2 linked regions of the Anolis sagrei genome follow. The protein of the gene in region 2 purifies or fractionates together with the protein of the main gene of each other region. This does not show direct contact. Links are inferred from orthologs where the notes say so. Each region holds a gene or a part of one and is shown on either strand. Other genes may lie near its edges.

The links.
Region 1: the proteins of PPP2R2B (region 2) and CDCA4 purify together in Homo sapiens (affinity purification with mass spectrometry; 4 studies listed by BioGRID and IntAct, with this or other methods). This does not show direct contact. The link is inferred for Anolis sagrei from reciprocal best matches to the Homo sapiens genes PPP2R2B and CDCA4.

Annotation. Positions count from the first base shown.
Region 1 is NC_090021.1:328,645,959-328,653,024, reverse strand, and holds the start of CDCA4 (cell division cycle-associated protein 4), read left to right. Parts: upstream 1-4,060; 5' UTR 4,061-4,165; intron 4,166-7,066. UniProt on the Homo sapiens protein: May participate in the regulation of cell proliferation through the E2F/RB pathway. May be involved in molecular regulation of hematopoietic stem cells and progenitor cell lineage commitment and differentiation.
Region 2 is NC_090022.1:98,183,555-98,190,687, forward strand, and holds the start of PPP2R2B (serine/threonine-protein phosphatase 2A 55 kDa regulatory subunit B beta isoform), read right to left. Parts: upstream 3,020-7,133; 5' UTR 2,740-3,019; coding exon 2,289-2,739; exon of another isoform or gene 2,045-2,288; coding exon of another isoform or gene 1,975-2,044; intron 1,863-1,974; exon of another isoform or gene 1,665-1,862; coding exon of another isoform or gene 1,598-1,664; intron 1-1,597. UniProt on the Homo sapiens protein: The B regulatory subunit might modulate substrate selectivity and catalytic activity, and might also direct the localization of the catalytic enzyme to a particular subcellular compartment.

The sequences.
Region 1 (7,066 bases), on a different chromosome or scaffold from region 2:
TGTAGCTGACAGGCATTTCTTGTCAGCCCAATGTTGCTTCTTACCCATTAACTTCTGTGGAATTACCTTGGCTTTTGCGGAACACCTCTGGCTCCTTTGAGACTTGATTCTGATCCTGATTTTACCTGTTTGCCATGGACTCTTGTTTGACATTGCTAAGGGATTATGCTTCATGCTATTTGCCTGTGGATCTTGTGAAGCTTGTCTTTGCATTTAAGACTCTGTTTTGCCTATTGAATTTTTGCATATTTATTTCTCTGTTTTGATTTTGCTTTTTCTCAATAAACTACAAAACCTACAGCTTTGGTGTATGGTGGTGTCTTGAGCAAGGTGAAAACTACCCTAAGTTGCGACAGTTGTACTGTATTTTTTGGGCTTGACCTCATGTTAGCCACCATGAGTCCCCATTGGGGAGATGGTGGGGGGTATAAATAAAGATGATGATGATGATTATTATTATTATTATGGTGTATTGGGCATCGAGTCATTGCCTCTGTAAACCGCCCTGAGTCGCCTGAGGGCTGAGAAGGGCGGTATACAAAGACAGCAAATAAATAAACAAATAACACAGTCCCGAACTGATTTTTACATGCTCCCAACAGGTTTAATCTCCAATTTGAGAGAAAAACTGAATGAGTGTGCCACGAAATGATGCAGGTCTAAAACGTGTGTCACCAACATGAAATGTTTGGAAATCTCTGCTTTATGGGATTGATTGAATGAAGCTGTAGTGTGAGTTTGGAAATATTGTAACAGCACCCCATTGATGGCCAATACATACTGAAATACTGTATCTTTTGGTGTTTACAGATTCCCCTTTTTCTCCTTTCTTCCCTTCTTTCTATCGCGTTGAGCTTGTTTGCCTTTCCTGGGTGCTTAGATAGAAATCTCTGGCCGTTTCCTCCTGCCTTTCTGTTTCCAGTTTTTGAACCTCCTCTTCCCTTCCCAAAGAAAGCTGCAAGTCAGGAGCTGCAAGGCTGCTGCCTCCCGCTGCCTTTCTCTCCTCTTTTCTCCTTGTCGCCTGGAGCAAACCTGCCTTTCCCCTCCTCCCTCCTGATCAGAAAAGGCAGCCAGCCAACTCTGGAAAGCGCCCAAGGCCTTTCAAGCCAAGCTCAGCAGAAGAAGCAGCCAAAGGATTGGCAAAGGTGCAAGAACAGGCCAGGCAAGCTGGAAGGGAAAGGGAGAAGAAGAGAAGAAATGCAGCAGAACCACCCAAGAACAGCGGAAGGAAAGTTGCTCCTAACTGCCATCAAGTCACCTTCGACTTATGGCAAGCTTATGAATGAGACCTCCATGTCCCCAAATCATAGTATCATAGTTGGAAGAGACTTCGAGGGCCATCAAGTCCAACCCCCTGCCAAGAAGCAGGAAAAAAAATTAAAATTTTTATTAAGAGTTTTCTACATGGGGGATACATCCATGTTATGAGAATCGTCGACACAACAATTACGTAAAAGCAAATGATAAGGATTGGGGTGGGGGAGGGGGTAGAGGTGAGTGAAGGGAGTACAGGGAGTAGGAAATGGGTCGGGGAGAGTTCGTGATCTTAATTACTGATTTTGCCCCATATAACATTGTTAGTGTTAGTATTATTTTCTAGTCTTGACTCTCACATGTCTAGGTCTGGTTGACATTGAAGTATTTTTTGATTGGAGACCAATCTGTCCTGGCTATGCCAGTCGTCTGTTTATATTCCAGGTGCTGTGTTAGAGTGTCCATATTTATTATGTCTAGGAGTTTAAACATCCATTCTTCCACCGTTGGTTTCTCTTTATTCTTCCATTTTCTTGCTAGTACAATTCTTGCAGCCATTGCCATATGGAAGAATTTGTTGTTGTTCATTCATTCAGTCATCTCCGACTCTTCGTGACCTCATGGACCAGCCCACGCCAGAGCTCCCTGTCGGCCGTCACCACCACCAGCTTCTTCAAGGTCAGTTCAGTCTCTTCAAGGATGCCATCCATCCATCTTGCCCTTGGTCGGCCCCTCTTCCTTTTACCTTCCACTTTCCCCAGCATAATTGTCTTCTCCAGGCTTTGCTATCTCCTCATGATGTGGCCAAAGTACTTCAACTTTGTCTCTAGTATCCTTCCTTCCAGTGAGCAGCCGGGCTTTATTTCCTGGAGGATGGACTGGTTGGATCTTCTCGCAGTCCAAGGCACTCTCAGAGCTTTCCTCCAACACCACAGCTCAAAAGCATCTTCCTTCGCTCAGCCTTCCCTAAGGTCCAGCTCTCACATCCGTAGGTTACTACAGGGAATACCATGGCTTTGACTAGACGGATCTTTGTTGCCAGTCTGATGTCTCTACTCTTTACTATTTTATTGAGACTGGACATTGCTCTCCTCCCAAGAAGTAAGCGTCTTCTGATTTCCTGGCCACAGTCTGCATTTGCAGTAATCTTTGCACCTAGAAATACAAAGTCTGTCACGGCCTCCACATTTTCTCCCTCTATTTTCCAGTTGTCAATCATTCTTGTTGCCATGATCTTGGTTTTTTTGACGTTTAGCTGCAACCCAGCTTTTGTGCTTTCTTCTTTCACCTTGATTAGAAGGCTCTTCAGCTCCTCCTCGCTTTCGGCCATCAGAGTGGTGTCATCTGCATATCTGAGGTTGTTAATGTTTCTTCCAGCAATTTTCACCCCAGCTTTGCATTCATCCAGCCCCGCACATCGCATGATGTGTTCTGCATACAAGTTAAAAAGGTTGGGTGAGAGTATGCAGCCTTGCCGTACGCCTTTCCCAATCTTGAACCAGTCTGTTGTTCCGTGGTCAGTTCTGACTGTTGCTACTTGGTCCTTGTACAGATTCCTCAGGAGAGAGACAAGGTGGCTTGGTATGCCCATCCCACCAAGAACTTGCCACAATTTATTATGATCCACACAGTCAAAGGCTTTAGAGTAGTCAATGAAGCAGAAATAGAGTTATGTATACTTTTGTATAATTGTTAATTGCTATGCTATGTATTACCTTGAGTGACATTACTTTATTTATCGTGTCATCAGCAACCATACCATTGTATTACAATTCTAACAGAGCAAAACAAACACACAGATTAAAAAGAAAAAGAAAAAAACACACAGATTTTGCAAACTTGGTAGTTGGTTAAATGTCCTTTGACCAGGATCTGGCCACTTGGAGTGCCTCTGGTGTTGCCGCAAGAAGGTCCTCCATTGTGCATATGGCAGGGCTCAGGGTGCATTGCAGCAGGTGGTCAGTGGTTTGCTCTTCTCCGCACTCGCATGACGAGGTTTCCACCCTGTAGCCCCATTTCTTAAGATTGGCTCTGCATCTCGTGGTGCCAGAGCGCAGTCTGTTCAGTGCCTTCCAAGTCACCCAGTCTTCTGAGTGCCCAGGGGGGAGTCTCTCATCTGGTATCACCCATGAATTGAGGTGCTGAGTTTGGGCCTGCCACTTTTGGACTCTCGCTTGCTGGGGTGTTCCAGCGAGTGTCTCTGTAGATCTAAGAAAACTATGTCTTGATTTAAGTCGTTGACATTACTGGCAGAATATAATAATATGTGTTAACAACAATAATAATGTTTCAAAATCCATTAAAACAGAAACAATGAGTGGAGAATACTATAATTAAAACAAACAAACCATCTGGTCCACGAGCAAAGCTAAAGCATTAGGTAACCATGCAAAACGTATGGGTTTCAATGGCTTCTCTGTGTAGTTTATATGTGTAGTTTCAATGGCTTCTCTGTGTAGTTTATAGTTTCTCATAAGCTTTGGCAGGCATTTGAAACTTGCCTTTCCTGGCGCCAGCCACTTACAGCGAAGGGGCGGGGCTAATCCAGCAACCGCCAATAGGAAGCCGAGAGCGGAGCAATGAATGGCGGGAGGGGCTAGTAACCATAGCAACTCTGAAGGCACATTCGATCACAGAGAGAAAACCCCTCCTTTCCTTGCCCACCAATAGGAAGCGAAGGTTCAGTCCCTCCTCCAATGAAAAGAGAGAGAGGGATGAGGGGCGTGGCCACAGGCGGCAGCGGGCTCCTTTGTGGAGTGTGACAATGAGGTGGCGGGGAGGGGCGCGCGAGTGAGCGGAGGGGGCGTGGCCTCTGCGGCCGTTGGCCCCGCCCCTTTTCTCTCAGGCGCGGAGGAGAGCGTTGAGGCGAGCGGGCGGGCGAGCGAGCGCCGTGGCTTCGTCCGGGCGGAAGGTAAGCCCATCGGGGCCGCGGGCGCGCCAGGGAGCGGAGGGGGCCTTTCCGGCGTGACGCTCGGAAGCTAGGCCTCGGCGTGGCGGCAGGGAAGCCGCGGCGGAGCCCTCCGAAGAAGAGGAGCCCGCCAAGGGTCACTGGGCCGCGGCTCCAAAATGGCGGCGGAGGAGGAGCAGGCTCTGGAGTATCACACAGGCCCACGCTGAAGCCTCTCTTTTCAGAAGGAAGTGGATCAGGAGCGAGCCAGGAGGGGCTTTGTAGTCTTTGAAAGCCACATTTTACAGCAGGCCTGGGCAAACTTGGTCCCTCCTTCCAGGTGTTTTGGACTACAACTCCCACAATTCCTAACAGCCTCAGGTCCTTTCCTTTACCCCCTCAGCCGCTTATGGAAGCAAACTTAACCAATTTGAACAAATAATACAGAATGGAAGGGTTGTAGAAGAGCATGAAAATTTGAGAGAAAGAACTAGGTCAGTGTTTCTCAACCTGGGGGTCGCGAGGGGGTGTCAGAGGGGTCACCAAAGACCATAAGAAAACACAGTATTTTCTGATGGTCATGGGGATTCCATGTGGGAAGTTTGAGCCAATTCTATCGTTGGTGGAGTTCAGAATGTTCTTTGATTGTAATGAACTATAAATCCCAGCAACTACAACTCCCAAATGTCAAGATCTATTTCCCCCAGACGCCACCAGTGTTCACATTTGGGCATATTGAGTATTCGTGCCAAGTTTGGTCCAGATCCACCAATGCATGAGTCCACACTGCTCTCTGGATATAGGTGAACTACAACTCCCAAACTCAAGGTCAATGACCATCAAACCCTTCCAGTGTTTTCCATTGGTCATGGGAGCCAAGTTTGGTTCAAATCCATTGCTGGTGGAGTTCAGAATGCTCTTTGATAAGTGAACTATAAATCCCAGCAACTACAACTCCCAAATTACAAAATCAATCCTCCTCCAACCCCACTAGCATTCACATTTGAGTGTATTGGGTATTTGTGCCCAGTTTGGTCCAGTGAATGAAAATGCATCCTGCATATCAGATATTTACATTATATATTTACATTATATTATAACTGTAGTAAAATGACTGTTATGAAGTAGCAATGAAAACAATATTATGGTTGGGGGTCACCACCACATGAGGGACTGTATTAAGGGGTCACGGCATTAGGAAGGTTGAGAACCACTGAACTAGTAAAATATATAAGATCATAATTGAAATAAAGGAAGGAAACACAAAAAACAACACCCTCAAAGAGGTTTGGGAAGAAGATTTAGGGATAAAAATAAACGAAACAGAGTGGCAACAATTATGGAGACAAAGACATTTAAAAGAATTATCAATACGGGTTCAAGAAAATTATTATAATAAGCTAATATGGAAGTGGTATCTTGACACCAGTAAAAATAGAATATATAAATAAAAGTAATTCAAAAATTGTTGGAGAGGATGTCAAGAACCAGGAACATACATACATATGTGGTAGCAATGTAAATATGTAAGTAATGTTTGGGAGAAAGTATTTAGAGAAATAAGAGAGATAATGTATATGAAAATTGAGAAAAGTCCTAGTATAGCTTTATTATCATTATATAACAATAAACAATTGAAAAAGGAGGATAAAGAAGTGATAACAAACTTATTAACAATAGCAAGACTGCTCATAGCAAGGAACTGGAAAAAAGAAATAAATATACAAATAGAGGAGTGGTACAAGGAAGCATGGAAACTGGCAATAAACGATAAGCTGACATGTATATTAAAAGTTAAAAAAAGGTATATGGAAAAAAAGTGATTTTGATGTTGTATGGGGAAAATTTGTTGTAAATGGTTTAAAAAATTTACCGCCACAAGAAGAAATGAGATTTTGGACAAATGATATGTAAAAGTTGTGGCTTGAGTTGGGGGGAGGGAAGCACAGTGGTGGGAAAAAAAGGGGGGAAATGCTTAAGCAGAATAAGACTATATGTTAAAGAGTGTGCTGAATAATATGTAACTGCTATAAACAAATGTATAACAAATGTAATAACTATGATAAAACAATAAAAATATATTTTTTTTAAAAAAGGAATTGTGGGAGTTGAAGTCCAAAACACCTGGAGGGAGGGACCAAGTTTGTCCAGGCCCTTTATACAGTCTTTAATGGGTTTTAGGGAATTTCAACAAATAATAATAATATATATACACATACTTCTATTTAAAACTAGCCATCCCCTGCCATATATATATATGGATGCTCTGTGCATAATGAGTACCTTAAAAACAAAAGAACCAATGAACAAAATCACATCAAAATTGGCAACAAAACATCTTGCAACACAAGGAGTGCCCATCACTCAAAAAATTATGATTTTGTCATTTGGGAGTTGTACTTGCTGGGATTTATAGTTCACATACAATCAAAGAGCGTTCTGAACTCCACCAATGATGGAATTTAACCAAATGTGGCACACAGAACTCCCATGACCAACAGAAAACACTAGAAGGATTTGGTGGGCATTGACCTTGAGTTTGGGAGTTGTAGTTCATCTATATCCAGAGAGCACAGTGGACTCAAACAATGATGGGTATGGACCAAACTTGGCACGAATATTCCATATGCCCAAATACGAACACAGATGAGGTTTGGGGAAAATAGACCTTGACATTTGGGAGTTGTATTTAGTGGGATTTATAGTTCATCTACAATCAAAGAGCATTCTGAACGCCACCAATGATAGAATTGGGGCAAACTTCCCACACAGAACCCCCATGGCCAACAGAAAATACTTAAGGCCAACCAGTCCAGCTGTCTTCACCAGGGCAAGAAAATGTAATCAAAGCCCTTCTGACAAAGAGCCACCAATCCATAGATATAGATAGATAGATAGATAAATATGAGACGCACACACATAGTA
Region 2 (7,133 bases):
GAACACAATGTGAATAAGCATAAAAAACCAGATTGTTATATCCACCCCAGTTGATGGGCCTGGTTTCCACATGAAAGGCTTCCTCATTTCTATGGCTACTGGAACACAAGGACAACCATGTTTTGTCTTCAAACAATCTAGTTCTGTTGCTTAGACAAACACAGAAAATGCACACAGATCCACTCCACCCTGTTCCACCTATATCTGGCCATTTCCTCCCAAGTCATTCTGCCTCTCCATTTTATCTCTTAAGCTAAGGCCAAATATTCTCAGTCCTGGCTTGCAGAAGATGGATTGCAGGAGGGAGGGAGGGAGGAGAAGAAGCCAAGCGTCATGTGCTATGATGAACATGCCCTGGGCCACTACTCCTTCTTGTCCTCCTTCTCTTCCGTCCTCTCCACACGCATACACCACAGAGAAGTCTTTCCCCTCTTCAGGTCATTTCTCAGCCACTTGCTCACTTTTGCATCTCCCCCCCCCCCCCCCTTTTCATTTCCGCTCCCAGTTGATTCAGCAAAATGGACTGCTGCAAGATTATTGCTGCATTCCTGCCCACAAGAAGCCTGTCACCACCTGTCTTAACCGCAGTCTTGCCATCTCACTGCGTAGAGCTTGGGCCTGTCATGATCAGGATCCATCCAAGGCCTTTGGAATGGGCTGGGAGGATTGTGGCATTGTGAAGCTTTCATAATGCAGCTCCCCCCCCCCCCCCCCCGCTCCAGTCAGATGCTATAAGCTCAGCTTCTCTAAGCCACCATGAATTGATTTCACACTTTCCCTGAGGAATGGAGAGGGAGCCAAAGGAAGCCAGTGGCTGGTTCACAAGGGAAGCTGATGGCCCATTGCTGGGGAGGGATGGGGGTGATTGAGCCACGGGGAGTGGGGGTTCGGAACTCAAAGGAATAGCCCAGCCAAGGGGCAAGTTGGGTCCGTCATCATCAAGATCCATCCAAGGCCTTGGAGGATCGTTGCATTGTGGAGCTTTCCTAATGCAGCCAGTGGCTGGTTCACAAGGGTAGCTGTTGGCCCATTGCTGGGAAGGGCTGGGGGTGATTGAGCCACGGGGAGTGGGGGTTCGGAGCTCAAAGGAGTAGCCCAGCCAAGGGGCAAGTTGGGTCCGTCATCATCAGGATCCATCCAAGGCCTTGGAGAATCGTGGCATCGTGGAGCTTTCCTAATGCGGATCCCTCTCTTCCCCTCCCCAGTCAACTGCCATAAGCCCTGCTTCCCTAAGCAATCATGAAGCTGGAGAGAGGGAAGGGGGCGAGAGAGTCACGGGGAGATCAGTGGCCAAAGGAATAGCCCAGCCAAGGGGCAGGTCGGGACTGTCATCATCAGGATCCATCCTTTGGGGAAGGACGGACGGATTATTGCACTGCCCAGCTTACCCCCCCCCCCCCACCCTAAAACGCACTGCCGTAAGCCCTGCTGTTCTAAGCCACCTCTTCCCCTGAGCAAAGGAAAGGGAAGCCAATGGCTAGTTCACAAGGGAGGTTGCCAAATGGGACCAGAATCCAACCCAATGAAGCTGTGTTGAGGGGGGGGGGGGAATCCTTAACCTCCTGGCCCCACTGAAGGCCCTTCCGCCCTGATCCACCTGCTGCTGCTGCTGCTGCTTCTCCTCCTCCTGCTTCTTCTGCGGGAGTCTCCGGCTTTCCTGGCATCACTGCATTATGGCGCGCGCGCCTTGGCGGCCCGGGCTCCGAGGCGGGTCCCCGAAGCAGCCCACGCTTCACCCGAGGCTCGGCCGCCCCAACCCGCCCCACGCCGCGCCGCGCAGCCCGGACCACAACCCATTGCCGCCGGCGGAGGCGCCTCCCGCAGCGGAACCGAAGGGTGCAGCCCCTGAATTCCTGCTTGCCCTCCCCCGCCTGCCTGCCTGCCTGCCTTCCTCGCCCCCCCCCCCCCCGCCTCCCTTTCCCCTTCTCTCTCTCTCTCTCTGTCTGAATCCTACCCCGCCGGGCCTTGTGTTACCTTCGGTTGCATAGCTGTGATCGCGCAGGAAACTGTTGTTTATCTTGCGGGTATCAATGTCCTCCTCCATTGACAGCGGGCTTACTTTTGTGGGAAGGGAGAGCAAGCAGGCAAGTATCCATCATCGCCCCGCCACCACCGAGATCAGCGGAGAGGCGCGAAGCGGGGGAGCAGCCGGGAGGCCAACATGCTCCTCCTGCCTCTCTGCAAAAAGGGGGGCGGAGAGGAGGAAAAAAATCAAACCGAAGGAGGGGGGGAGGGAAGGAATAAAGAAGAGGTTACGCTTTGAAAAGGGCAAGCAAGCGAGCTTTCACCTCCTCCTCCTCCTGCGGCGGTGGCAAAGGTCCAAGTGGCTTTCTCTTCCTGGCGCTGGCGCGAAGGTGCCGCCCGCCTCCGCCTCCAGCCGGGGATGATGATGCTGGGGAGGCGCAGGGCGGAGGGGGAGGAGGGCGAGGAGGAGGGCGAGGAGGAGGGCCACGGGCCCCTCGGGTGCTTGGGGCAGGCGCGCGGGCGGGGCGCGAGCAGGGCCAGGCCCAGGCACACGCTTCCTCTTCCTTTGCCTCCGCCTCCTCGGGCTCCTTTCCCTCTCCCTCGCAAGGCGGCGGCGGCGGCGCAGGTCCCGATGCCCAGCGAGGTGGCTGCTGCAATCCCGGCTCCCAGGGCGCAGTGCTGCCGCAGCCGGGCGCCTTCCTCCTCCTCCTCCTCTTCTCCCTCCTCAACAGGTTCCCCCGCTGGCCCCGCCGCCGCCGCTGCTCTCCTCGGCATGCGAGACGCCCCCGGCCCCGCAAGATGCTCTCCCCAGTCTCCTTCCTTCCTTCCTTCCTTCCTTGCTTCTTTCCTCCCCGCGGTGCGGAAGGAGAGCGGGAAAGGCAGGCGGAGGAGGAGGAGGAGGAGGAGGAAGAGGTCTCTCTCTCTCCTTCTCTCTCTCTCTCTCTCTCTGCGGCAGGCGAGGCTTGGCTGCGGCTGACTGCTGCAACGCGCCGGGACCTGCCACCGAGCGCGCGCGCTGCCGCTGCTGCTCCTTCTGCTGCTGCTGCAAAAGAGCGAGTCCTAGGGCTTAGTTGCGGCAGCGGCAGCGGCGCTCTGCTGGAGCCTGCTGGTGCATTCACACCCCGAGGCTCCTCCCATACAGCTCGGCTTCGGCCAACCGCGGCAACGGCGGCAGCGGCAGGCCCGAGACTCGGCCCCGGCAGCGGCAGCAACGGCGGCACTGCGGTAGCGCTTCTCAGCGTTGCCTCCCCGGGAGAGGGACGGAGCGAGGGGAATGGCCGTTTGGGCAAGGCCAGGCCTAGGAGGAGGGGGCGGCGGGCTGCGGGGCGCAGCCAGGGAAGGAGGCTCCAGTCCAGAGGAAAGGGAGCTCCGGGGGCGCGGCAGGGACGGAGGGAGGGAAGGAAGGACAGCGCTCTCCCAAAGGGGCTTTCTCTCCCCCCCCCCCCTGTCCTCTACCCGTCCTTTCTCTCGCCTCCCCCCCCCCCTTTCCCATCCATCCCCGGAGCGCAGTGGTGTCCGGTATTGATCTCAATGCGTTGGAATTTGGGCAGCGGGGCCCTTTGGGGGTGGGAGGGACGCTTGTTGCCTGCCTGAGGAGCTTCCATCCTTAGGCTGCTTTTATTGTCATATAGACAGTAAAAAACCCCATTTTTACCTGGACGCAGAAGAACTTGAAGAGGAAAGGGTTTTAAAAAGCCCAAGTGTTTGAAAAAGCCGTCCCATATCCCAGGTAAGTACTTGAGCAGGACACAAAACTCTAAAGATGGTGGTTTCCAACCATTCCTTGACCAAGGACCACTTTGACCAGGACCTCTTGACTAGGGACGTCTTGACCAGGGATTCCTTTGACCAAGGACCTCTTGACCAGGAACCACTTTGACCAAGGACTTCTTGACAAGGGACCACTTTGATCAGGGACCACTTGACCAGGGATCTCTTTGACCAGGGACCACTTTGACCAGGGACCACTTTGACCAGGGACCTCTTGACCAGGGACCACTTTGACCAGGGACCCCTTGACTAGGGACTTCTTGACCAAGGACCACTTTGACCAGGGACCACTTGACCAGGGACCTCTTCACCAGGGACCTCTTCACCGGGGATCTCTTTGACCAGGGACCTCTTGACCAGGGACCAGTTTGACCAGGAACCTCTTGACCAGGGACTTCTTGAACAGGGACCACTTTGACCAAAGACCACTTTGACCAAGGACTTCTTGACCAGGGACCTCTTAACCAGGGACCTCTTGACCAGGGACCTCTTGACCAGGGACCCCTTTGACCAGGGACCTCTTGACTAGGGACCTTTTGACCAGGGATCTCTTTGACCAGGGACCACTTTGACCAGGGACCTCTCAACCAGGGACCACTTTGACCGGGGACTTCTTGACCAGGGTCTACTTTGACCAGGGACTTCTTGACTGGAGACCCCTTGTCCAGGGACCATTTTGACCAAGGACCTCTTGACCAGGGGCCACTTGACCAGGGACTACTCTTCAACATTACTACCAAAAGGGTTTTGAATCAGTCTTTGGTCAACTTTAGATTTGATTTGGTCATTTGGGGTGCTGATTCAGAAAATTGCATTGGATAGACCACATCAGTTCTAGTTTCTGATACAGAACATATGCCATCCAGTAGCCACCATCTGCTTGTCTACAAAAAACCATATTTAATAATCTAGAGCTGATGTGGTCTATCTAATGCAATTTCTGATTCAGCACATCAATTAACAGGTTGAAAAACAAAGAGACCAAGGCACCCCCACTTCCAGGTGCCACATGGAATGGCTCCGCTGTGTGGGGGTGGAGGGGAAGAAGCATCAGTCAGTAGGCTTGTTGTCATGCGTTTTGTGTGTAGGCACTCTGAGAGGGTTTTGCGAGACCAGTTGCTCTTGTTGCAACGGTGTAGTAACAGTGAGGTCACAGACTATATTTTAGTCCTTGGGGACCACTGGTGGTCCATGGACCACAGGTTGGGAACCATTGTTCTAAGAGAATCAACTTGGTATAGTGCTTTGAACCTTAGGCTGCTCCTCTGGAGGCCAGGATTCAAATCCCCCCCCCCCCCCAAGCCACGGAGATCTGCTGAATGGGTGACCTTGGGCAGGCCACACTCCCCTCCAAGGAAGCCTGTGGTGCTCCAGCCCAACAAATCTTGACAAGAAAACCCTGCAATGCCTTCATTATAGAGTCATAGTTGAATCAGGGAAAAGGCACACAACCACAAGACTAACATCAGTCACACATCTAATCACAAATCACAAATACAAGTCCCACAAGTGGTCTGATTTAAAAATATAAGACTCCCTCTGAATCCGATACAGCTTTGAAAATTGATGCCTGGAAGATTGGAAAGTAGTGTCGGCCATAGACATTACCGTGCTTGAAAATAGAAGTAAAAATGAAGTACCACTCTGCTATTTTGAATCTCATTTTATTTTAATGTCAAGATTGGAGGGAAAGAAAATGGTACCCATTTGGTAATTGATACCTGACACAAGCTGGACCAGCCAAGATAAATAGAAACCTCCTACTGAGAGCACTGTGCTGGTGGCACAGCAAATTAAGCTGCTGAGCTGCTGAACTTGTTGACAGGGAGCGGGGTGAGCTCCTGCTGTTAGGCCCAGCTTCTGCCTACCTAGTAGTTCAAAAACATGTGAATGTGAGTTGATCAATAGGTACCGCTCTGGTGAGAAGGTAATGGGGCTCCATGCAATTATGCTGTCCACATGACCTTGGAGGTGTCGATGGACAATTCCAGCTCTTCAGCTTCGAAATGGAGATGAGCACCACCCTCCAGAGTCAGACATGACTAGACTTAATGCCAGGGGAAACCTTTACCTTATGGAGAGCACATGGTTTTATGCCATACCACTGGTACCCCAACAATGGTAACCTTCCTCTCGGGTTCTTTTAGCTGGATGACAACCTAGTAATTATACACCAGACTGTTACTTAACTAGAGACAGAGTGGCATAGTGCTTACAGTGTTGGACTAGGATTGAGAAAACTGGTTCAGACTCCCATTCTGTCCTGAGGCTCAACAAGTGACCACAGACTATCTGTCACTATCTGTCAGCCTGACTTATCTCACAAGGCTGTGAGGATAAATCAGGGAGGATCAAGCAGCAGGAAAGGCATGACATAAATGGAAATTAAAAACCTGAAGGCATGCCTACTTACAAAGAACATGTCCCCTAATATGCAAGTTAGGAAATCTATTCTGGGATGTGCTGGGAAAGGAAATTGGAGCATGGATGGTCTTGCCTGAGGACAAGCACTGGCTAGTTCTGTATCTTACTCCCTATCTGGCCTATCTCTAGATTTACAAATAGCTATAAAAACACAACTCTTCTCTAGCTTTGTCTTTTCACGGGATGCAGCTAGTCCTTGAGGACTGCTTTTTCATTCTGCCCACCAAACATTTTGCTGTACTTCACTTTTCTCTGCTTAACCTTCATTTTGAAAAAGATTATTGTAAATTTGACATATTTGCTGAGTATACAGTGCTTTGGTTGGTTCTAATAAAGGTATTACATGACACTGGCATTTGGATTATTTTTTTCTCTCCGATGGAGCACTTTTATCACCTTGAATGACCTGAAGGAAAGCTTGCATACAAAGGCAACAAATGAACATGATTACTTGGACGATATGGTCTTCCATTGCCAACTTAAAACATTCCACCACTCAGAAAAGAAAGGAACCCAAAGTCCAGGCCCATAGCCAGGATTTTATTTCGGGGGGGGGGGGGGGGGGGTAAAACATTTCAGGGGGGGGGTTCGGGGGGGGCTGAGTTTTTGGGGGGGGCTGAGTCTGAGTGAAAGAGGGTCTAGCCTAGCAAACCTTTTGTATCATTACCCCAATACCCCCATGCATATGGGATATATTGAGTATGGTGATCAGATCATGATATGAATAAACATAACAGTTTAAATAATGCACCAGTAAGGGCTTTTCGCGAACCACCATGAGAATTTCGGGGGGGGGGGGGGCTGAAGCCCCCCAAGCCCCCCCCCCCCCCCCCCCGGCTACATGCCTGCCAAAGTCCCTACTAAAATGTTCTGTCTCATTTGTTCTTTGCACATGTTAACATTCTGCTATTATTTAAGAATTTCATAGGCTTTATTCTTTCTATATTTCCCAAAATTTGTTAATTACACATTAA